Linked DNA regions of Oryctolagus cuniculus. Each later gene encodes a partner of the first gene's protein in a complex. Links are inferred from orthologs where the notes say so. Each region holds a gene or a part of one and is shown in the gene's direction. Other genes may lie near its edges. The genes, in order: TAF1A, UBTF, POLR1H, TAF1C, POLR2H and POLR1B.

Region 1 (2,158 bases):
CCTCTCCTAAAGTAGCTTTTAAGTAGTAATGATAGCTGACATTTTGGGGATATTTACTATGTAGTAGACATTATGCAGCTAGTAGTTCTTTAAACTACTGTGCCAGTTTAATCCTAGTAACAGTGCTGGGAGATAGGTATCATTAATTGTATTACCCTTAAGAAAATTGAGGTCCATAGAACAGGTTCAGCAACCAGCCCAGGGTCGCGTTGGTCATAACTGGAAGGTCTGAGATTTGAATCCAGGATTCTATGCTGTTAACCACTCTGCTATAATTGAAGATGAGATGTGGGGATCACAGAGAACAAAGAAGGATTTGCTTTCATGCTACTGCCCATCCTGTGCTATGTCATGACCAAGCTCAGAAGTTAGTTTGAAAATATCCCCTTGTCATCTTTGCTTAGACTCCAGGTAAATGTAAACTCTGACAGTATAGATCTATTCCCATGGCCATGACTGACTTTGCCTTTTGACATCTTTTTCAGGAATCATCTTGCATGGGTTCAAGAAGAGTGGAATTCCAGGAAAAACTGGTGGCCAGGCTTTCACTTCAGCTTCTTTTGGGCAAAAAGTGATTGGAAAGAAGACACAGCTTTGGCCTGTGAGAAAGCTTTTGTAGCTGGAATACTGTTAGGAAAAGGTACACATTTTTGTGTTCTTTTTATCTAGACAGTGCTTTGGCTGATTTTGAAATCATGTAGTATGACCACCATTCATCTTAGAGTTTGCCTAGTAGCTGCCTAAGGATAGATACTAGATGTTTAGGAAGTAACTATTATAGATTGGAAGAATGAGTCCTGAATTGGGACAGGCAGTGTGCTTGTAAGGAGCCTCTGTGGGATAGGAATAGAGATTTCACGCCGTTGATGGTGGGTGTCTCCATGGTCTGCCTTGAGTGCTGTTAGGGGCATTAAGATGCTCGATGCATCCTATTTCCACAGAGTGACCATTTGACCTGCTGTATAGAAAGTTTACTGAGATTGCCTACTTTATTGAAAACACAAAAATGGTCTTTATTGACTTCATTGTTATCCGGTAGGACTATATGGTGTTTACTTACCTGTTCCTGTAAGGAGGAAATATTTTCTCCCCTTCAGAGAAAGAATACCTCTTAAAAGAAGTTGATCTTTTCTTTATGGAACATTTTGGCTGATAAAACTGTGACCTGCTTTGTGCCACTGAAATATGAAGATAGCCAAGTACTAAAATGAAGCTACTGCAAAATCTGTTCAGAAATGAGGAAAGTAAACCAGACAATGGCCACTAGAAAGCCATCTGCGATAGGGGAGTATTTCAGTAGATAGTTATTGATTGTATTTATTTGGTGTTTAAATAGCTACAAAAAAGATATTTTTATATATTTCTCATATATTATCTGAGAGAGATTCTTTAGCTCGCTTTTGGGTATGGTTTGTATTATTTTGGAATTAGTGTTCTCAGTGACTGTTTCAGTTAGTTACTAGGATTAGGAAAAATGTTGCTTTATGGAAGAAAGGAATTATTAAACTGGTCAGTAACTTAAAAATTGCTCTCTGATACACTGATGGTAAGGAACAGAAGTGTGATTTGGACTGTTAATTTCTGCTACTTTGTGAGTATAGAATTGTCTAGTACAGGTAACTGCAGGTTTTAGTGTCTATACAATGTCCAATGACTTAGGTTCACTTGCTGCGTAACTTAGGTCAGAGACCGTTTGGGAAACTTCTCTGTGAAGTGGGCATCAGAACACCTATCCTCATTTGCTCACAGCATTGTTGTGGCCATTAAGTGAAGGTTGCATCAAAGTGCCTAATAAATCTAAAGTGTCTCATGACTGTCAGGCATCTTCATGCCTGAAAGTAGACACATCTTTTCTGTCAGGGTGTTCCTGCATGGGTGGGTCACCCTGCTTAGGAGTTGAGCTGAGTTCTCTGCTTGCTCTGGTTCCTGTCATTCAGCAAATTCAGATTATAGTTGTAGTCTGCCTTTGCTTTGTGCCTGCCTTTCTTCCCCAACTCTGCTAAAGGCAAGCCAGGCCTGGTTCTCCTTGAAGGGACCTTTGCTCCTTGAATTCTGGCTTCTTGATTGTCCTGTGACTTTAGTTCTCTAGTAGACTTAAGACAAGTTAAAATTTTGTAGTTTATTGGGCTTTTTTTTTTTTTTTTTTTTTTTTTTTTTG
Region 2 (4,244 bases), on another chromosome or scaffold:
TTCACCGAATGCCAAGGCTCTGTGTGAAGGCATGCACCAGAAAACGAGAAGAGAGGAGGAGACGAACAGGCAAAGGGGGGCAGAGAGAAAGGGCCAAGGGCAAATTCCCTGGTGTGCTGGCCCACAGCCCAAGTCCTCGGCTCCTGACCGCACCAGAGCTGTGATGGGTGCGACCCAAGCCAGTCGCTCTCCAAATGGGAAGGGCGCCAGCAGTTCTGCTGCCCAAGGAATCAATAACAAGCATTCTTATGATTCACGTTCATCCTGCTTTATTCCGAAGCACTTTACCGAAAAGCCCCTTGACCCAGCCAAGAAGTTCAGGGCCAGGAGCCAAGACACCTGGACTCCAGACCTGCGTGTGGCAGATCTGGAACCTTCTTGGGGGTCTAGGTTTCTCCCATTGACCCTCGGATGCCTGGTGAGGCTGCTGTTGTCATTCCACAGATACGGAAACTAGGATCAGGTGGGGTTAAAACTTGCCCAAACACTCACACTATTAAAAAAAAAAGTTAGGACTTTTGATCCCAAAGCCTTTGTCAGAAATAGCAACTGGTTCCATGCCCCGATTTCGGTGCAGCCTGAGATGGCTTGATCCTGCATAAAATGTCCCCAGAGTGAATCAAAGGCAGATCAAGTGTGAGGGCCTGCAGGTGAACTGTGGAGGTCGGAGTGCTCTTTAACCAAAAAAATAAAAAAGAACCAACTACGGGATGCAAAGTCAAGTCCAAGGTCTTGCACAGGCCTTAAAGCTTCAACTTCATTCGCATGATGGTCAGTCTGCATCTTCCTCATGTCCTGCCCGCTAAAAACCCAGACACACCAGATCCCGGCGGCGCCCTCCTCCCGAGGCGAGAACCGTGGCAGGAGTCTTGGGAAAGGAATCTCATCTCTCCCAGGAGGCAGGAGGAATTACCGCGGCGGAGAGCCCGTGCGAGGAGGGAGGGAGGCTGCGCGCCAGCCAAGAGCCCACAGGGGCCCGGGGACGCAGCGGAACAAGACGCGGGCAGCGGCGGGGCCGGGGTGGGAGCCAGGCGTCATGGCGCTGTCCCGGACGAAGGGCCAAGCCGTGGGCCGGCCTGCCGCAAGCCAGCGCCCTCGGCTGTCCGCGGGCTCCCTGCGTCCTGCCCTGAGAACACTTCCCCGGAGCTAAGAAGGCAAAGTCGGACAACCCCGGCGCCGGCAGCGGAGGCCGAGGCCGGACGCTCTGCGCGGCCCGCGCGGCCCGGGTGCCGGGCGCCCCTCGCGGCTCCCCACCGCCGCCGGGGGGCAGCGCCCGCGGCCTGCTTTCCCCGGGCTGGTCGAGCCTTTTTGACAAGCTGATTGCGTGGCGGGGATTGGCTGGTCCGGGCGTGACGCCGGTAACAACAAAGGTGGAGTTGGAAGAAATTAGATTAAGGGAGAGGAGGAAAAAAAAAATTAAAGGGGGAGCTGGCAGGGGACAGGCGGCGGCGAGCGAGGGGGAGATGCGCGCGGCGCGGCCTCCGGTACCGACTGGGCCCCCGGAAGCCTCTCCGCGTAAGCCCGCCGGGACCTGGCTCTCGCTTCCCACCCCGGCCCACTTCCGAAGCCGGGTAGGAGAGACGGCTGCTGCTGCTTTGGAAACCTCCCAGCTCCCACCCTGCCACCCCTCACGACGACCCGAGGGGAGAACTTTTTGCTCGGACTCCACGTATCCTCAGCCCGGCGAAGGTGGGGGGGCGCTGGGAAGGAGGCTCGCTCCAAACCCGGGACGGCCCCGCGGGGCTCGGAGGTCGGGCGAGGAGCGCTGCCGCTCCGGTCTTCCGAGATGGCTCATCTAAGAGCTTCTTTCTGTCTTTTCTTTCTTTTTTTTTTTTTATAACACCCCCCCCCCTTTACTTCCCCCTCGCTTTGGCTTCAGGGTTGCAAAAGCAAAGAGCAATAAAAAAAAAAAAAAAAAAAGGAAAGAAAAAAGAAAAAGAAAAACCGCGCACACACTCAGACACACGCCAGTGGCGACAGGGGAGAGTTGGAAAGGCGCAGGAGAGAAGCAGGAGGCGGGCGGCGGCGGGGCCGGAGCCTTGGGAGCGGGGAGCGGGCAGGTTCCCTCGCAAAACCCCCTCCGCCCCACGGCGCCTCGCCGGCCCCGGCAGGGGAGCGAGGAGCCGGGCGAGCAGATGGAGGAGTGGAGCTCGCTCTAGGCAGCGGGCTTGGCCGGAGAATGGAGGAGCCGCCAAGCGACCGGCTGATTGGAAGAGAAACGCAGAGCGATGGAGGCGGGGGTAGGAGGACGATTTCTCTGCGGGGACTGGCGGCGGCGTACACGCCCGGGTCGGGCGCTGCAGAGCTTGGCTGGCTTTCAACCCGCGCTCGCCGGCTCCAGCCCCGCGCGCCCCCACCCCCGGCCCTCCCGGCGGCTCCGCAGGTGAGTGCGAGCTGGGGGCAAAAAGACCCAAAGTCTCCGCACTCCCGCCCTGCAAAAAAAAAAAAAAAAAAAAAAGAGGAAAAAAATTTTTTTCCTTTTTTTCCCCCCAATTTTCGCGCAGCCCCGAGAGCGGTGGGAGGGAAGGGGTGAGGCTGAGCCACCCGGAGGAGGCGGAGGGGCCAGGCGAGGCCGCGGTGGCCCGGGAGGCGGCGGCGCCGAGGCGGCTCTGACGGGCGAGCGCTCGGAGCGGCGCTGCGCTGCGCCGAGGCGGGCGGGCGGAGCGGGGCGGGCGGAGCGCGGCGCGTGGGGCTCGCCATTAGCCGTCGCTCCGCTTCGCCATCTCGGGCTTTGTCTGGCGACTCGCTGCCCCGGAGTCGGCTGCGGCGGAGCTGCGGCTCGGCTCTCCGGCCCGCCGCGCCCCCAGGTGTCCCCGGCCCGCGCTCCCATCCACACGCTCGGTAAGTGAGCCCCGGCGCCACGGATTTCGGGGGAGAGGGGTTGCTCCGAGCGGCCGCGCCGCCGATCTCCATGCGCCCAGGCAGGCCTGGGGAGCCATGCCGGGCTGGATTGAACCGGCTCCCACCGTGGCTCCTCGCCGCTTCCTGGGTGTAAGGAGCGAAGGGAATTTCTTTTTCCCCCTTGGCAAGGATATTTTGCTTTTCGAGTTTCGCGTGTGCCGTTCGGCGGCGAAGTAGGCGCCGAAGCTTGGCACCGCGATCGGCACCCCGAGCGAGTAGCCACGCTCTGGGGAAGGTGGGCGCGAACCGCCCGCGCCGGGAGGCGGGAGAGGGCCGGCTTGGAAGGCCGGATCTGGGCTGGGAGGCCGTGGAGGAGAGGTCCGGGGCTGCACTGCGGGCACCCCCGAGCCTCTTCGGCCGCCGGGGGGCCCTCCGGGCACCCTCTCCGCGGCCGCGCCTCGGCCCTCCCTCCCGCGCCGGCCGAGCCTGCTAGTTCCCCCGCGGGTCTGGCGAGGTCGCTCTCGGCGCCCGCCCGCCCGCCCGCCTCGGCTCCGAGCCCCGCCGCCATCCGGGCGGCTGCGTGTCTCCCTGCCCCGGCCCCCCCCCCTCCCCGGCGGCAGCAGCAGCAGCAGCCGCCGCCGCCGCCACCGCCACCACCACCACCACTACCACCACCCCCCTCCCCTCCTTCCTTCCCTCCGCCTCGGCCGCCCGGGTCCCCCCAGCTCCCGCCCCTCCTCCCAGCTGCCCCCCGCGGAGCCCGCCCGGGCAGGCTGTGGGAGGGAGCGGAGCCGGCGAGGCGGGCGGGCTGGCGCTCGCTCCCCGGGGGTCGGTGTGCGCTCTACGGGGAAGGACGCGCTCGCTGCCCCGCTTCTCCCGCCCCCCCTCCCGCTCCTCCTCCTCCCTTCTCCCTCCTCCTCCCCGCTCCGGCGGCGGAGGCTGCGGCGGCGGCGGGGGGTGTGCGAGCTGAGGCCGGGGCCGGCGGGCGGGCGGCGGGCGGGCTGCCTGCAGGCGGAGGGCGCTGTGCTTTGTGCTTTTCGCCGCGAGGAGCAGCAGGCAGCAGCTACAGCCGCCGCCGCCACAGCAGCAGCAGCAGCCGCCGCCCCAGCGCCGCCACCGCGCCCGGAGGAGGAGCCGCTGCCGCCGCGGGAGGGAGCTGCGGCTGTGCCCGGCCGAGCGGGGGAGGGCGCCGCCGCTCAGAGCCGGGGAGGGAGCCGCCGGAGCGGGAAGCCCGGAGGTCGCGCTGCGCCGGGTAACCGAGGCGGCTGAGGGCGCGCGCTGGGGGTCGGGGCCGGGGCGGCCAGGGAGAGACCCGCGGGAGCGGCGGACACCCCGGCGCAGACCCGGGGCGGCCTCCGAGCAGGGTCTGGACGCGAGCAGACCGGGGCACTGGGGAGGACGCC
Region 3 (4,229 bases), on another chromosome or scaffold:
ATACTTATTGACTGTAATGTGAGCTTTGGTTGGTTTGAATGTCAAGTTAATAAGGGAAAGCTGAGAAGGATGTAGGGATAATTTCAGTACCTGTTTTCAAAGGAGACAGAGAAGTGAGAATAAAGTGTCTACCATCATAACTTCAGCAACAGACTTCCATCTGTTAAGACAGATAAAATGGCCGGCGCCATGGCTCACTAAGCTAATCCTCTGCCTTGCGGCGTCAGCACACCGGGTTTTAGTCCCGGTCAGGTCGCTGGATTCTGTCCCGGTTGCCCCTCTTCCAGGCCAGCTCTCTGCTGTGGCCAGGGAGTGCAGTGGAGGATGGCCCAAGTGCTTGGGCCCTGCACCCCATGGGAGACCAGGAGAAGTACCTGGCTCCTGCCATCAGATCAGCGTGGTGCACTGGCCACAACGCGCTGGCTGCGGCGGCCATTGGAGGGTGAACCAACAGCAAAAGGAAGACCTTTCTCTCTGTCTCTCTCTCACTGTCCACTCTGCCTGTCAAAAAAAATAAAATAAAATAAATAAATAAAATGACATCCGATTTCATGGTTAAGTGATATTAGGGGCTTGTGATTTCCCCAGCATTTCCTAACTTTTTACTAGGGTTGTCTTTCCTTTATGGCAGGGAAAGACAGACAGGTGCCTCTCTCCCAAGTAAATTCACATCTGTCCTTTAGAAAAGAGATGGCTCCAGAGCTTGCACACGCAGGAGCCCCACAACAGCTACAACTGGATGGTGGTGGGAGGGCTAGAACCAGGAAACTCGTATAGAAACTGTTTCTTCAGGTCAAGTCTAAGCTACTGACGCGTGAAAATGGTGAGGTCTTCTAAAGATCCTTATTCTCATGTTTTATAAACAAGGAGCAACTCAATTAACCACCGACTGGATGACCACGACTGGAGGTGAGGGACCAAGTGGAAGACTGAAAGCCAAACTCGACCCAGGTCTTAGCAACCCCTGCCTACAGGCGTCCCCGGCCTAACGCCAGGTCCCTGTGGTGTCTGATGCCCTCCGAGGTCCTCGGCCCAGGGTCCCTGTGGTGTATGACCCCCTCCGAAGGCCTCGGCCCCCTCCCAGGCGTGCCCCTTCCGTCTTTCCCGTCCGGCCAGCGGAGCCCAGCGAGTCTCAGCACGCTTAGCTACACCCTCTGCTCCGCGAAAAAAGGGCCGCTGGGAACGGCGGGACCTGTACTTTTCTAATCCAACGAACTCTTGTTTTCTGGGGGCCCCCGTGAGTGGGAAGCCAGTGAGTCAGATGCGAGACAAGGAAGAGGAATACCCCACTACTGTGTCCAGGTGGGAAAAGGAGCCGGAGGCGCAGTGCCAGCGACTCGCCTTCCGGTCCACCACCACGAGACCAAACGGCAAGTGACGCAGCAAAACGCGCTCCCAGCCCGTCTGCCCGCCCTAAACCCCCCGCTGTGGCGCGCGAGGAATAGTGACGTCACAGCAAATTGTGCGCCCGGACGCGTCGGCGCTCTAGCCCTCGGCGCGCTCGCTGCCCCGCCGCTTGCGCACGGCCGGCGCTCTAGCCCGCGCTACCCGGCCCCTCTCGCCTGCCCTGGCGGGGTTCCGCGTCGCCGGCTGGTTGCTTGGTGGCCGAGGCCGGAGACGTACGTGGGAGGAGGGGTCGGGTTATCTGTGCCTAGGTGCTGGGGCAGACAAGGGAGGCCCCCTGCGTGGGGAGGGTGCGGCTCTCTGGTGTCCTAACGAACTGGTCGTTCCCTTTCCAGCATTCCGTCGCGTGTCCGTCATGGACGGCGCCAGCACCTGCCCCAGCTTTCAGTCGGACTTGGATTTCTGTCCGGATTGCGGCTCGGTCCTGCCCCTGCCCGGAGCTCAGGATACGGTCGTCTGTACTCGCTGTGGCTTCTCCATCCACGTGCGGGGTGAGGGGCGGGGGCCGGTGCGCGGTTTGGAGACCGGGGAGGGAGAGCCTTAGAGCGGGCGCCTGGACGTCTGGTCTGCGGAAGAACCCTGAGGGAGGCAGGCAGGCCTGGCGGGGGCGAGGCGGCCGTCCGCGCCCTCCGCTGGCCTCCACAGCCGCTTCTTGCTGCCCCGTGCAGACTTCGAAGGGAAGGTCGTGCAGACTTCCTTTGTGTTCCACAAGCTGGGGGCAGCCGTGCCTGCGTCGGCGGAGGAAGGGCCCGAGTTCCAGGGACCCGTGGTGAGTTACTGAGATGGAGGGCTGGCTGCAGAGAGGGGCGTGGAGAGGAAGCGGAGGGGCGAGTGCGGGGTCCGCAGAGTGTTGCACCGACTTCCAGGAAGGCGGAGAGCCTGGGAAGTGAGGGGCGCGCCCCCGCCTCCTAACGCACCCCTTCCCGGCCAGGTTGACAGGCGCTGCTCTCGCTGTGGCCACGAGGGAATGGCGTACCACACCCGGCAGATGCGCTCAGCCGACGAGGGGCAGACCGTCTTCTACACCTGCACCAGCTGCAAGTGGGTCTCCGCTCCCCTCCCTCTGTCTGCGCACTTGACATGTTCAGTGGCGTATTCTTGTACCACACACTTGCTTCCATGATTCCATCCCTAATAGGAAATACTTGTCTTTTGTATATCCAGTGAACTCAACCGTTTACTATTTTGTTTTTTCATTAAAAAACAAGAGAAGGCTGGAGTTGTTCACTGCAGCCAAGGTAGCTTGACCATGGTAAGAATTAGTCACACGGGATTTAAAGAACAGCAGCTTTCTGAATGGTTTGCAGAATTTAGTGTTCTGGTTCCACTAGAATATATCAGAGTGTTGTGGGCCGGCGCTGTGGCGGAGGAGCAGGTTAAGCTGCCGCCTGGGACACCAGCCTGGGTTCATGTCCTGACTGCTGAACTTCCAGTCCCGCTCCCAGCGAATGTGCCTGGGAAAGCAGTAGAAGATGGCCCAAGTTCTAGGGCCCCTGCACCGACGTGGGAGACCTGGAAGAAGCTCCTGACTCCCGGCTTCCTCCTGGTCCAGCCCCAGTATTGCTGCCATTTGGGGAGTGAACCAGTGGATGATCTCTCTGTCTCTCCCTCATTTCTTTTCCCCCCAAGGAAATCTTTTATTTGATAAGTACAAATTTCGTAAGTACAGCTGCAGGAATATAGTGATTCTTCCCACCATACCCACCCCACTCCCAGCCCACCTCCTCCCTCTCCCATTTCCAGTCCCCTGCTCTTGTATCTCCCTCTCTGTAAATCTGCCTTTCAATCAAATTTTTTTAAAAAAAAAATAAAGGATATATCAAAATGTAGCTCGCTTTTGTTTATCCTGTTTGGAATTTTATTGGACTTTCTGAAATGAGAATTGATGTATTTCTCATTAACTTTGAAAAATTACCAGCCATTATCTCATTTAATACTGTCTTTCTCCCATGTTTTTAATTCTCACATACTGGAGTTCTAATTGTTTATTATACTTTCTCCTCATCCTCCCATTTTCCTCACCCTGTCTAAAAATTTATTCAAAAGGCAGAGTTATAGAGAGGCAGAGCCAGAGAGAAGTCTTTCATCATTGGTTCACTCCCCAAATGGCTGCCACAGCCAGAGCTGGGCCAATCCGAAGCCAGGAGCCAGGAGCCTCTTCCTTGTCTCCCACGTAGGTGCAGGAGTCCAAGTACTTAGGCCTTCTACTGCTTTTTTTTTTCCCTTTGCCATAGCAGAAAGCTGGATCGGAAGTGGAGCAGCTGGGACTCGAAGCGGCGCCCATCTGGGATGCCGGCTCTGCAGGCAGCAGCTTTACTTGCTACTCCACAGTGGTGGTGGCCCATCAATCATTTTTTACTTCTCAGTTCCTTAATTGTATTTTAAATCTCTTTTTATTTTTTAAATGTGTATTAGATATATCAAACATGTTTACACCATAGTAGTAGGGGCTTCAGTTTTAACTTACCTGTCTGGATTTATCAGTGTGAAGATGGCCTTTCCTTTCTTGGAATTTACCAGTGGATTAAAAATATTTATGGTCATATATCTTTCCTATATGAGCAGTTTTTAATATTTATAAGGTCCAGTTAAACATTCTTTTTTTCTTTCATGGCTAGTGCCTTTTGTGTTCTAAGACATCTTTGCATACTTTGTCTTAATTCATCTGATTTATTTTTAATCCCAGCATTTTCAGTTGTTGGAGGATTTATTTAGGGGAGCCAGGTCTCCACAGTATCATAAATAAAAGGCCCTTTGAATGTTGGAATATTTCATCTTACATTGCTGGGAACTCCTCTGATCCAGTGTAACAAGTCTTTTTTTTC
Region 4 (4,165 bases), on another chromosome or scaffold:
GCTGGATCAGAAGTGGGGCAGCTGGGACTTGAACCCGGTGCCCATAGCTCTCTGCTATGACCAGGAAAGCAGTGGAAGGTGGCCCAAGCGCTTGGGTCCCTGAGCCCATGTGGGAGACCCGAAGAAGTTCCTGGCCTCAGTCTGGCCCATCCGTGTCCGTTGCGGCCATTTGGGGGAGTGAACTAATAAATCTGAAAATAAAATACTATAAAAAATGCGTAGGAATAACTTCAACATAAAAGCAAAATAATTTGTCCACACACACACACAAATCCATGCATAGTTTTTTCACAGGACACGTTTTCTGAGGGCTTTTGAGAACCTGGGAATCGATTGTTCAAAGCAGTGTTTCCGTAGGTGTAGTCCCTGGGCCGGCACCATCATCATCGTCACCTGGATCTGTTGGAAAGGCACCAGACCCAATGGATGAGAAACTTGGGGGCAGCCGGCCAGCCACCCAACAAGGCCTCCAGGTGAGCCTGATGCACGCTGGGGGGGAGACCCACGGGGGAGGGTGATGGGCTCAGACTTGTGACTGACGGTGATTGTCCAAGCAAGGCCCCACGGCACCTGGGAACCCACGGGCAAGGTTACCAGACCCAGCCACCAACTGTACTGAAGTGCACCCCAGCTGCCGCCCTGCAGTGTGAGTACGGCTGCCTGAGGCCGTCCCTGCCCGACCGGCCCTGGGAAAGCCTCAGGTACTCCCGGGGCACTCAGACGAGGATTTAAGGACAATCGGCAGGACACCTGCTGACCCAGACGGGGCCCGATGCGTAGTAGGTGCTCGTGTTTGCTGAGCTGATGGACTAACCCTGGGACACAGGGAGCCCATGGGCTGGCGCTGTGGCCTAGCAGGTAAAACCTCTGCTTTCCATGCCACCTTCCCCCTATGGGCACAGGTTCAAACCCCGGCTGCTCCTCTTCCCATCCAGCTCCCTGCTAATGCACCTGGGAAGGCAGCAGAAGATGGCCCAAGTCCTTGGGCCTCTGAACCCACATGGGAGACCCGGAAGAAGCTCCTGGTTTTGGCCTGGCGCCATCACAGCCATTGCAACCAACTGGGAGTGACCCTGAAGATAGAAGACCTTTCTCTCTTCCTCTCTCTCTGTAACTCTGCCTTTCAAATAAACAAATCTGGAAGGAAGGAAGGAAGGTAGAGAGAGGGAGAAAGAAAGGCAGACAGACAGAGGAAGTCTATGAAGCAGAGGCGGGATTCGAACTCCACTCATCTTAGTATCCAGGATTGAGGCTCCATAGGGTTTTAGTATTTTCAATGCAGTGCGCTGTTCCCTCTCCTCCCGAGAGGTGGTGCTCTAGAGCGCGCATGGAGCCGGGCCGGGAGGCGGGACTTCCTGTCTCCCTGGGAACACTTCCGCCCAGACCCGGAAGACCGTTCATTCCTCTGTGTGGCGGGTCCCGGCGTGAGCGCGGTAGCTGGAGCGACGCTTTCGGGTTCTCTCGCGGCGGGAGGGTCTGGCGAGCGTCGCGCGGCGCCCCGTTTCCCGGGCACCCCGCCCCAGCTGAGCCACGTAAGTGTGTGCGCGCAGGCCCGGGGTGTCGGGGGGCCGGGGCCGCGCCGGCGAGTGAGGGGAGGGGCGTCCGGCTCCCACCGCCGCGGCGGCCTGGGCTCTGCGGTGCCCTCCTGGCGTTCCTGCAGGCCCGGCGGGGCGGGAGGCCGGCGGGCAGCGCGCGGGGGCCCGGCGGGGGCCTGGCGGGGGCCTGGCGGGGGTCGTGGGCGCCCTCGGGCTGCCCGGGCTTGTCTGGCGCCGCGCGGCTCCTCTCGCCCCCGCTTGTTCTCGGCTCTGTGTGCGATGTTGTGGGTATGCCCTAGGCGCTGGAGTGAGAGCCTGCCTTCCCTGGGAGCTGTGGGAGGCTCATCTTGTTTATTTGAAAGTTAGAGAAGTCCCCATCCGCTGGTTCTCTCCCCGGACGGCTGCAGCAGCCAGGCCTGGGCCGATCGGCAGCCGGGAGCTTCCTGCGGGTCTCGACCCACGTGGGTGCAGGGCCCAAGGACTGGGGCCATCTCCCACAGCGTTCCCAGGGGCACGAGCAGGGAACTGGATTGGAAGTGGCGCAGCCGGGACACGAACCGGCGCCCCCGTGGGATGCCAGCATCGCAGGGGGCGGTTTTACCGCTCGCCACACCTACCCGAGCATCCTTACGTATCTGCCACAGGCTGCTACCCGCTCTGGCAGGACAGCGGGTGTTTGGGGGAGAACAGAATTGAAGGGGTTAAGGGAGGCTCCTGGACTGGAAATCCAGGCTTTTGAGGTGGGGAGGGCGGGCCCTGGCGCGCAGTTGGAGAGGGGATGTGCAAAGGCCCTGTGGTGAGGCAGAGCCTTAAGGAGTGTGGTTGGAGCCCAGGCACCAGACATGAGCAGGAGGCTTCTCTGTGTGTGACCCTTGACCCGTCAGGGATACAGCCCCTCCCCCTCCCCGGGAGGCCTGGGGGCTTGGTGCCTGCAGTGGGTGCCTCCACCGTTCCCGCCACTGGCGGCTCCTGTCCCCAAACAGTGACGGTGGCAACAGACCCAGCACCTGCCCTCGGAGACGCCCATGCCGGTGCCCGGATAAACAGTGGGGCCGGCACAGGCCCCGAGGAACAGCTGTTCATTCCACGGGCAAGGGTTCCCCAGCGCTGCGCGGCGGGCCGTGTGCGCGGTGCTGAGGGTGCCTGGCCGCCCCGGGGCGCGCGGTGAACTGATGAAGCCCGCTGGGAGTTGGTCTGCAGGAAGGGGTTCCTGCCAAGGCCCCGTGCCGGCGTTTGCTCCTGGGCGCCGGAGAGTGAGGCGCAGAGCTGCGGCGTGGCTCCGGCGCTCGGGCAGCTGCTGGCCTGAGCGGGTCCCCGCGCCCGGACACGGACGAGGGAGGGGCCTGGCGCCACGTGTGCAGCCGCGGGCCCAGGTGTGGGGGCGCTGCTCTCGCTGTGGTGCTGTGTTCATTAAGAGAGGGCTGAGGTGGCGGCTGCTGCTTTGGGAACCTTGGCCTCTCAAAGCCCTTTGCCACGGACTTGCTCTCGGTCAACGCGTAGTACGCGCCCGGGAGGCGCCGGGGGCGGCTGCTGGGCTCGGTCCTGGCGTAGTCCTGGGACTGAGCCGAAGGGGAGGCGTCTGCAGGTGTGTGACCGGAGGCCCAAGGGCGTCTAGCAGCCGGCCCGCTCCTCCTCCTTCGTCCGCTCGCCAAGGTGTCCCTCAGACAGTGCCCAGGGCCCCTGGCAGCTCTCCGCAGGCTGCCTCCCTCCCTGGGGTCAGGCTCTGTCGCTGGCCTCAGGAGGCTCACCTGGCTGCGGGCACGCCCCTCCTCCGGGCCGGGAGGCTGGTTGTCCACCGTCCGGTAAGGCACGTAGCCCTCCTCGGGCCAGGGCTGCACGCGCGCTTGCTCTGTGTCACCTGGTCCTCCCCGGGGAGCCCGGAGGCCGGTGCCTCCTGGGCCGCGCCGGTCCTGGCCAGTGCCGGGTGCAGGTCTGCTGCGAAGGCCGGCGCTTCTTTTCCAGGATGGACTTCCCCGGCTGCCTCCGCCCCACCTCGTTTACCACCGGCCCCCTGGGGCTGAGCGACGGCCCCGACCTGTCGTTCATGTGCAGCTGGAGAGACGCGCTGACCCTGCCGGAGCCCCAGCCCCAGGACGCCAAGGTGAGGAGGGGCAGGAGACAGCCGGGACTCTGGCCGGGTCCTCGGAGTCCCGAGCTGGCTGGTGGGGCTGAGCCCTCGGGGGCTCATCGGTCAGGAGAGACGGTGTAGCAGGGCAGGCTCAGGGTGGCCCCCTGCGAGGGCCCCTCCCCCTACCGAGTGTCTGTGCTGAGCTGTCTCGGGCTGGCGGGCGGCGGAGGGTCCTCTGGGGCTCCCGGAGCAGGTGACGAGGTCTCCTGAGCGGAGGGCAGAGGAAGCGGGACTCGGAGCGGCCGGTGCGGAAGGGGGCTTCCCTGCTGGGTCAGGGTCACAGGCGCGCAGTCTAGAGCCGGCTGTTGGCCTCCACGTCCCCGCTCCTCGCCGCGCTGACAGCTGGGCTCCCTGTGGCTCCGTCTCTTCAGTGAAGCCATGTCGGAGCTCCCGCTGACTGCAGGGTGGTCGTGAGGGCGGACCGAGGCGCTCGGAGACTGGCGTTGCGCAGGGCCTGGCCAGGGGCGCGCTCTGCTCACGTGGCGCACTCTGGTTGTGTCCC
Region 5 (4,024 bases), on another chromosome or scaffold:
CAGCGCCGGTCGGTCCCCGTCCGGTCCCCGCAGCCCGGGCGGCCGAGAGCAGAGTGCGGCGGGCCCCGGGCGGGCGCCGCTGGCACGGCCTCCCGCTCCCGTCCCCTCCTCGGCGGGCGGGCCGAGGGCGGTGCCCTCTGCGCTGCTCCGCCCGCCAGCCCATCCGGAGGGGCCGGCCTAGCCCGGCTAGGGTCTGCGACGGGGCCGCCTCCCAGGCTCCGGAGAGGCGGCAGGGGGCGCCTGGAACGCGCCTGCCGGCGGAGAAGGACTGAGAGGGGCGCCCGCGGCCGGGGCGGGGCAGGGCCACTGGCACGTGGAGCCGGTCCACAGCTCTCCGTGCAAGGCGGAGAGGGACCGGAGCCGCCGGGCGCTTAGGACTTCGGGCTCGGGGCTGCAGGGCTGCTAATTCGTGAGAGCAGCTGCCTTCTCTGCTGAGGACTGGAGGCCCAGGCGGGCCTGGAAAGGCCCCTCTGCGGGGGATTCGGAGGGCCATTCTGGGCTCCTGCCCTTGCTCGGGGCTAGCCTCAGGAGGTGCCCCTGCAATACCGGACCCGCCGGATTTTGCGGGCAAGGGGACTGGGAAAGAAAGGCCCGAGGGAAGGGAGTTCTAGTGCCTGGAAGGCAGGCGTCGGGGGTGGGGTGGGGTGGGCAGAGGTCGCTTCTCCTGGCAGGGCCCAAGGAAAACCCCAGGAGCTGCTGACGTCTCGCCGCCTTGGGGAAACGGCCTGCTGGGGTTTGGCTTTCTCTATCAGGGTCCGGGGAAGGAGAGAACAGAGGGTGGGGTGAGCACGGGGTGCACGGGCAGCGTTCGAGATAGCGAGCGCAGACGCGGCGTGCAGGAGGGCGGCAGGAGGCCAAGGAAGGGAGGTTGTGGGAGAAGGGGGCCAGCACCCGGGAGGAAGAGACAGGAAAGTGATCCAAGAGGAGGGCAGTGCTGGGGGAACACGCGGCACACGCTGAGGGGGCACTGCTAACGGGTAGGGCAGTGTGAGGGGATTTGTGGCAGGCGGAAGGAGCGAGCAGGGCCCAGGGGAAGAGGGCAGTGGTGGGGGGAGGGTGCAGCGCCAGAGGAGGGCAGTGCCAGCTTTCCTTTCCCCCGGAGTGATATCCTGGACGGCCCCGGCTCAGGTGACGTCCAGCAGGGCCGAGCCAGCCCCCGCCGACCTGGGGGCCCTCGGTGCCAGTTGAGGGACTAGGCATTACGTCCTGCTGGGCTAGCGCTCTGGGGGCGGAGTTTTGTTGCACCCGTCCCCGGCGCGGACTATGCCCTCGGGGGACACGAGGACCGGCAGGGTAGGGCTAGGGCCCGGCTTCTCTGGGGCAAAGATCAAGGTCTCGGCCTGGGTTAAGTCTCCAAGCATTCCAGGCTTCAGGGCCCGGACTCTGGAGAGGGCGAAGCGGAGCCCCAGCGGAGCGCGATAACCCGAGCCACCTCCGCCAGAGGTGGTGCTTGGGGCGTTCCCGCCCTGGGCGGAGTCACCTGGCTCGGAGACACGCCCTCAATGCGTGTTCCCTCGCCAGCAATCTATCGGGGCGGAAGTTGAGAATCCCCGAGGTGGAGGCGGCGGAAGTGGCTGCCGTACTGCAAGCTGGTGCGCATGCGCTTTCCTGCTGCTCTGCCGCCAGCGTTCAGGCGCCTTTTGCTCTAGTGTCTTCTTTTTCCACGCGAGAGTGGGCTAACTCGTAGTTGTGGTCTCGCTCCTCGCGTTTCCGCTGCTCTCGTGGCCCCCTCACGATGGCGGGCATCCTGTTTGAGGACATTTTCGATGTGAAAGACATTGACCCGGAAGGCAAGAAGTTTGACCGAGGTAGGTAAGGTGTGGGGTTTGGCCGAAGAAACTAACTTCCTCGGGACACACCCCTGGGCTCCGGCTCACGTGGCCTGCCCTTGCGGCAGGTCCTGATGTAGGGGCCTCTCCCAGGAGACCTTTTATGGATGAGAAAGCCGAGACGCCGAGCTCTCCCTGGCTGCACACACGCGGTGCCCAGTGCCATGGTGGTGGCAGGCTCCTGGACGTCTCTGCAGTCGCCTCTCACTTACACACATTTTGCCTTATTTAGTGCTCTCGAGAGTTCCCAGGAGGTAGGTGGTGCCTTCCTCTCCTCCTGGAGGGTAAGTTTGCCACCCAAGGCTGCACCGTGGTCAGTCTGACTTATGAGCCCGAATTCTTGTGTGGAGTCGAGTCTCCAGCTGATGTCAGACCCTCTGAGTTAACTGCGCGGTGCAGGCCAGGCGCCCGAGGTGTTTTTCAAGTCTCAGTTATTCAGTGAGATAATCCCCTTAGCATGGGAGAGGACACCTTTGGTTGAAGAAGTCCCTTGCCCAGACCCAGGTTCTAAATCACCCAGGTAGTGCCTAGAACTCTGTCTTTTGCTGCTAGAATATTTTGATTTGGGGGCAGGATTCCATTCATTTGCCATGCTTTTTTAAAAAATTATTATTATTTTTTAAAGATTAATTTTATTTATTTGAAAGAGAGAGAGGTAGAGACAGAGAAAGGTCTTCCATCCTTTGGTTCACTCCCCAGATGGCCACAACGGCTGGAGCTGTGCTGATCTGAAGCCAGGAGCCAGGAGCTTCTTCCAGGTCTCCCACACGGTGCAGGGGCCCAAGGACTTGGGCTATCCTCTACTGCTTTCCCAGGCCACAGCAGAGAGTTGGGTTGGAAGTGGAGCAGCCAGGATATGAACTGGCACCCATATGGGATGCCGGCGCCTTAGGTCAGGGCGTCAACCCACTGCGCCATAGTGCCAGCCCCAATTATTAATTTTTAAAGACTTATTTATTTATATGAAAGGCAGAATTACAGAGAGAGAGAGGGGTCTTTAATCCGTTGGTTCACTGCCCAGATGGCCACAATGGCCGGAGCTGCACTGATCTGAAGCCAGGCTCCTGGAGCTTCTTCCAGGTCTCCCACGTGGGTGCAGGGGCCCAAGGACCTGGGCCATCCTCTTCTGCTTTCCCGGGTGCATTAGCAGGGATTGGAAGTGGAGCAGCTGGGACTTGAACCGGCACCCATATGGGATGCCAGCACTGCAGGTGGGGCTTTGCCCACTAATCCACAATCGCTGGCCCCTGCCATGGTTTTTGTCCTCCATGCATATCTGGTTCTGAGCGAGCCTGCATTTCTCTCTCTCTCTCTCTCTTTTTTTTAAGGTTTGTTTTATTTATTTGAAAGACAGAGATAGGGAGAGACAGTGAAAGAGGTCTTCCATCCACTGCTTCACTCCCCAGGTGGCCTCAGTGCCTGGGGCTGGGTGAAGCCAAAGTGATCTGGGAGCTGGATCAGAAGCAAAGCAGCCTCTTCCAACTGGTGCTCTGATACAGAATGCCCACCTCGTACACAGCAGCTCTGCCCACTGCACTGCAGTGCCTGCACTTTTTTTTTTTTTTTTTTTTTTTTAAGATTTACTTACTTGTTTGAAAGGCAGAGTTACAGAGAGGCAGAGGCAGAGAGAAAGAGAGGTCTTCCATCTGCTGATTCATTCCCCCAAATGGTTGCAATGGCATGGGCTGGGCTGATCCGAAGCCAGGAGCTTCTTCCAGGTCTCCCACATGAGTGCAGGAGCCCAAGGACTTGGACCATCTTCTGCCTTCCCAGGCCATAGCAGAGAGCTGGATCAGAAGTAGAGCAGCAGGGACTCGAACCAGCACTCATTTGGGATGCCAGTGCTGCAGGTGGCGGCTTTACCCAATATGCCCTGTGCCTGCACTTCTGTGAGAGCACATAAGAGGCCAGTGGATGTAGATCAGGTTACATTAAATAGTCGATTGCCTGTAATTCCCAAACTGGGATCTGTCAGATCTGCCTTTGCCCTGGTAATTACATCGTCCGTCTCTCTGCTTCTCCCCAGTGTCTCGACTGCACTGTGAGAGCGAATCTTTCAAGATGGACCTCATCTTAGATGTAAACATTCAGATTTACCCTGTGGACCTGGGTAAGTATTGAACCCAGAGAATCAACAGAGGCTTCTTGCCGTCTCAGCTATTCTTTACGCCCAGATATTGCTGCTGTTTTCAGGT
Region 6 (4,008 bases), on another chromosome or scaffold:
AGCATTATTTGTAATAGCCAAACAGTGGAAACAACCCAAATGTCTACCAACTAGCTAAATAGATAAATAAAAATACAATACACACAATGGGTTTCATTTTTTAAAATGGAAGAACAGAGGCTGTCTATTATAGCACAGTGGGTTAAGCCACACTGCAACCCATATGAGCAACAGTTTGTGTCCTGGCTGCTCCACTTCCAATCCAGCTCCCTGCTAATGTGCCTGGGAGAGCAGTGGAAGATGGCCCAAGTGCTTGGGACCCTGCCACCCACACAGGAGACCCAGATAAAGAGTCCTGGACTCCAGGCTGGTGCTATGGTGTAGTAGGTTACGCCTCTGTCTGTGGGGCCAGCATCCTAAATGGGTGCTGGTTCAAGTCCTGGCTGTCCCACTTCTGATCCAGCTCTCTGCTATGGCCTGGGAAAGCAGTGGAAGATGGCCCAAGTCCTTGGGCCCCTGCACCTGCATGGGAGACCCGGAAGAAGCTCCTGGCTCCTGGCTTTGGATCAACACAGCTCTGGCCACTGTGGCCATCTGGGGAATGAATCATTGGAAGTAAGACCTCTCTCCCCCTTTCTCTGTAACCAGCAAGTGGAAGATCTCTTTTTCTCCCTCTCTGTAACTCTGCCTTTCAAATAAAATAAATACATTTTTTAAAAGAACCAAAAAACAAAACAGTTCTGGGCTCCTGACGGTGGCCTGGGTTGCAGCCATTTAGGGAGTGAACCAACTGACAGAAGATCTCTTTTTCGCTCTCTTTCAAATAAATATTTTTTTTTTAAAGCGGAAGAACATGTTTTATTGGAAAGGCAGACGGTCAGACACAGAGCTCCCATCTGCTGGTTCACTACCAAATGTCTGGAACAGCCAGGGCTGGGCCAGGGGCAAAGCTTAGAGCCCGGAACTCAATACAAGACCGCGCTCTCCTTGAAGCCACAACTCGAGCTGAGTGTCTCCCCAAGTCCGCTCTCCGGCGATCCTTACTGAGCGAGAAGGACCAAAGAGGTTACCAGCTAAATTGGGCTTGCAGCAAGCTTCACTTCCGGTATTTGGGGGCGGAGGAAGGAAGGATTTGAGTGGGGCGGAAGAGAGTTGAAGGTGCGCTCTCGCCCTGTTCTAGTTCTGTACAGTTCTAACCGGTCCATTCGCTCCATGGTTTTGGTTCCAAGTCGACCCTATAACACCGGAGGGCCGAAGGCGGGCGGAACATGAAGAAACTACATTTCCCAGCAGGCCGCGGGCGCCGGGATTCCGGCAGCGACTCCTGCGTGTGGCGCGCTGCCGCTGGCTTCTCGGTGCTCCGGCGGACACATGGATCCGGTTGGCCGGTGGCGGACCCTGCCCAGCGGGCCTAGCCTAAAGCACTTGACCGACCCCTCTTACGGGATCCCGCGGGAGCAGCAAAAGGCGGCCTTGCAGGAGCTGACGCGGGCGCACGTGGAGTCGTTCAACTACGCGGTGCGCGAGGGGCTCGGCCACGCGGTGCAGGTGAGCGCGGTGCCTCCCCCGGCGCCTCGGAGGGCTGTGTGCGCCGGCAGGCTGGCGGAGGAGGGGGCTGGGCAGGGTGCATGAGGCTGGGGGCTCGTGGGGGAGAAGGTCCCGCAGGCGGGCGGGCGACGGGGTCCCGGCGAGGCGCCGGGGAGGCTCCGGTTTTGCTTAGCTTCTGTGGAGTGGATCCTTCGATTCTGCGGCTCAGAATTCATGTGTGCATCATGTGGATTTTTTCAGAACACAACTAGTTTCATCCTTCGGGGATTCCTAATTCACAGATTCATTTACTCACTAAAATTTACTTGTGACTTTCCGTGCGTAGAACAGCAAACATTTGAGTTGCCCGATGCGCGCGTTCCCAGCTGAGATCCAATAAGACAGTGTTCTGCCTCTCGATTTCAGTTCTCAGACATAAACACCTGTTCTTTTTGCTGTCTGGTGCAGCCTTTTTCACATTTTTGTACTGTTTGTTGATAATTTTGCAACTTGAAATAGTGCCTGAAAACATACATTGAAGTACTTTGTGTTGTTGCTGGGCACAGGAAAGCTGTGATGAAAATACACGTTAGGTAAGCTTCATTCAGACCATTCTGCTGTTAAATTTATTATTTATTTATATGAGAGGAAGAGAGAGGGAGCTCTTGCCCACTGGTTCGCCACCCCAAATGCCCGCAGCAGCAGGGGCTGGGCCAAGGCAGGGACCAACTGCTTGATCATCACCGCTGCCTCTCGGGGTCTGCATTCGCAGGAAAGCGGAGTCAGAGTTGGGACGCAGGTGCAGGCGCTCCAGGGTGGAATGTGGGCATCATAAGTGCTAAGCTGAACGCCCGCTGCTCAGCCGTCTATCAAGTGAGGCGCCCTTTAACAGGAACAGGTAGGGCGAGGTTCTGTACTGATCGGCTGATGGCAAGCTGTGACAGAGGCTCTCAGGGACTTGACTTCGTGTTTCCCCGGAGCGTGGGTCAGCGTTTGCGGTAACTTTAAAGAATTTCACTAACGTGAGCGTCAAGGCTCAGCGGCGTTTACCTGCCGAGAGTGCAGCTGTGGCTTGCACGAGTGAGTCTTTTTTTTTTTTTTTTTTTTTTTTTTTTTAAGATTTATTTATGTGAGAGGCAGAGTAACAGAGTTGGGGAGGGGAGGAGAGAGAGAGTCTTCCATCCACTGGTACACCCCCCAAATGGCTGCAACACCTGGGGCTGGGCCAGACCGGAGCCAGGAGCTGGAGAAGCAGATCTTCCTCTTCTTCTTCTTCTTCTTTTTTTTTTTTTAATTTATTTGACAGGTAGAGTTATAGACAGTGAGAGAGAGAGAGATAGAGAGAAAGGTCTTTCTTCCATTGGTTCACTCCCCAAGTGGCCGCTACGGCCGGCGCTGCGCCGATCTGAAGCCAGGAGCCAGGTGTCTCTTCCTGGTCTCCCATGCGGGTGCAGGGCCCATGCACTTGGGCCATCCTCCACTGCCCTCCCAGGCCACAGCAGAGAGCTGGCCTGGAAGAGGGGCAACTGGGACTGGAATCCAGAGCCCATATGGGATGCCAGTGCCACAGGCGGAGGATTAGCCAAGTGAGCCACAGCACCGGCCCCGAAGCAGATCTTCTAATTGCCTCTCCCTGTTTTGACACTACATCCCTTAGACATGAAATATATTTAACATTTCAGTTCTAAAGTACCATCAGTCTTAGATAAAACTGAGAAAAGCTGGGTTGAATTCACATGAGGGCGGATGGCCTGTGTATTCTTAGTCGGCTCCGCCGTCCGTGTTCCTGTCATTCTAACACTAAGCCGGAGGGTTGTTTGTGTCTGGTGGGCTGCCAGTGTGAGCCCAGTCGGAAGGAGGCTTCCCTCTCCTTGCTGTCTGAGCAGGGTCAGACTGGAGAAGGTCGGCGCTGGGGTCAGAGAGCAGGCGCGTTGGCCTGGTGCCAGCTGTATCCTGAGAGCCTCCTCGCTCTGCTCATGGCAGACAGAACAACCCCGAGTTAACGCGTGGCAGCCTGAAGTGCGTAGTGAAGAGTGGACCGCATGTCGTCTTAACTCTCTTCTGTTTGTCACGGTGGCGTTGCGGGCTTCAGTGCTTAAGGAACACAGGGATTTGCAGGAGTCCTAGAGAAAAAGTGCCTTGGAAATGCAGGCCGTGTAATCATGCGTATTGTATTCCAGGCCATAGCTCCCTTTGAATTCGCTTTCAAAGATGAGCGCATCACTCTTACCATCGTGGACGCTGTGATCAGTCCCCCCACGGTTCCCAAGGGCACCATCTGCAGAGAGTTCAACGTGTACCCAGCAGAATGCCGGGGCCGAAGGAGCACCTACCGTGGGAAGCTGACGGTGAGTGTGACCGCGCCTGGCTCCCACAGGGCGGATGGCTTCTGGGGTTCATACAGAATTCTGCCTTCTTGGTGCTGGCGTCTGAGAGCGCCCGTCTTTGAAACCTGAAGCATGAAGTCATTCGATGTAGTCTGCTTCCTAAGAGTGTTTTTCTCTTTTTCACCTAGGCTGATATCAGCTGGGCAGTAAATGG

What was found.
Region 2: TAF1A (region 1) and UBTF share a complex: the UniProt entries of both Homo sapiens proteins name them as parts of the pol I pre-initiation complex. The link is inferred for Oryctolagus cuniculus from reciprocal best matches to the Homo sapiens genes TAF1A and UBTF.
Region 3: TAF1A (region 1) and POLR1H share a complex: the UniProt entries of both Homo sapiens proteins name them as parts of the pol I pre-initiation complex. The link is inferred for Oryctolagus cuniculus from reciprocal best matches to the Homo sapiens genes TAF1A and POLR1H.
Region 4: TAF1A (region 1) and TAF1C share a complex: the UniProt entries of both Homo sapiens proteins name them as parts of the transcription factor SL1/TIF-IB complex. The link is inferred for Oryctolagus cuniculus from reciprocal best matches to the Homo sapiens genes TAF1A and TAF1C.
Region 5: TAF1A (region 1) and POLR2H share a complex: the UniProt entries of both Homo sapiens proteins name them as parts of the pol I pre-initiation complex. The link is inferred for Oryctolagus cuniculus from reciprocal best matches to the Homo sapiens genes TAF1A and POLR2H.
Region 6: TAF1A (region 1) and POLR1B share a complex: the UniProt entries of both Homo sapiens proteins name them as parts of the pol I pre-initiation complex. The link is inferred for Oryctolagus cuniculus from reciprocal best matches to the Homo sapiens genes TAF1A and POLR1B.

The regions. Positions count from the first base shown.
Region 1 is NC_091444.1:36,937,653-36,939,810, reverse strand, and holds part of TAF1A (TATA box-binding protein-associated factor RNA polymerase I subunit A), read left to right. Parts: intron 1-485; coding exon 486-640; intron 641-2,158. UniProt on the Homo sapiens protein: Component of the transcription factor SL1/TIF-IB complex, which is involved in the assembly of the PIC (pre-initiation complex) during RNA polymerase I-dependent transcription.
Region 2 is NC_091448.1:19,038,515-19,042,758, forward strand, and holds the start of UBTF (nucleolar transcription factor 1), read left to right. Parts: upstream 1-1,444; 5' UTR 1,445-1,689; intron 1,690-2,253; exon of another isoform or gene 2,254-2,383; intron 2,384-2,702; exon of another isoform or gene 2,703-2,841; intron 2,842-3,904; coding exon of another isoform or gene 3,905-4,244. Other genes in the region: basic salivary proline-rich protein 2-like, read right to left, coding at 3,905-4,244. UniProt on the Homo sapiens protein: Recognizes the ribosomal RNA gene promoter and activates transcription mediated by RNA polymerase I (Pol I) through cooperative interactions with the transcription factor SL1/TIF-IB complex.
Region 3 is NC_091436.1:140,424,720-140,428,948, reverse strand, and holds the start of POLR1H (DNA-directed RNA polymerase I subunit RPA12), read left to right. Parts: upstream 1-1,429; 5' UTR 1,430-1,619; exon of another isoform or gene 1,620-1,655; intron 1,656-1,739; 5' UTR 1,740-1,759; coding exon 1,760-1,895; intron 1,896-2,072; coding exon 2,073-2,173; intron 2,174-2,335; coding exon 2,336-2,445; intron 2,446-4,229. UniProt on the Homo sapiens protein: Core component of RNA polymerase I (Pol I), a DNA-dependent RNA polymerase which synthesizes ribosomal RNA precursors using the four ribonucleoside triphosphates as substrates. Can mediate Pol I proofreading of the nascent RNA transcript.
Region 4 is NC_091449.1:65,920,049-65,924,213, reverse strand, and holds the start of TAF1C (TATA box-binding protein-associated factor RNA polymerase I subunit C), read left to right. Parts: upstream 1-1,365; 5' UTR 1,366-1,532; intron 1,533-3,497; 5' UTR 3,498-3,498; coding exon 3,499-3,636; intron 3,637-4,165. UniProt on the Homo sapiens protein: Component of the transcription factor SL1/TIF-IB complex, which is involved in the assembly of the PIC (pre-initiation complex) during RNA polymerase I-dependent transcription.
Region 5 is NC_091435.1:93,932,008-93,936,031, forward strand, and holds the start of POLR2H (DNA-directed RNA polymerases I, II, and III subunit RPABC3), read left to right. Parts: upstream 1-1,224; 5' UTR 1,225-1,735; coding exon 1,736-1,808; intron 1,809-3,855; coding exon 3,856-3,939; intron 3,940-4,022; coding exon 4,023-4,024. UniProt on the Homo sapiens protein: DNA-dependent RNA polymerase catalyzes the transcription of DNA into RNA using the four ribonucleoside triphosphates as substrates.
Region 6 is NC_091433.1:113,613,230-113,617,237, forward strand, and holds the start of POLR1B (DNA-directed RNA polymerase I subunit RPA2), read left to right. Parts: upstream 1-1,208; 5' UTR 1,209-1,311; coding exon 1,312-1,488; intron 1,489-3,647; coding exon 3,648-3,815; intron 3,816-3,982; coding exon 3,983-4,008. UniProt on the Homo sapiens protein: Catalytic core component of RNA polymerase I (Pol I), a DNA-dependent RNA polymerase which synthesizes ribosomal RNA precursors using the four ribonucleoside triphosphates as substrates.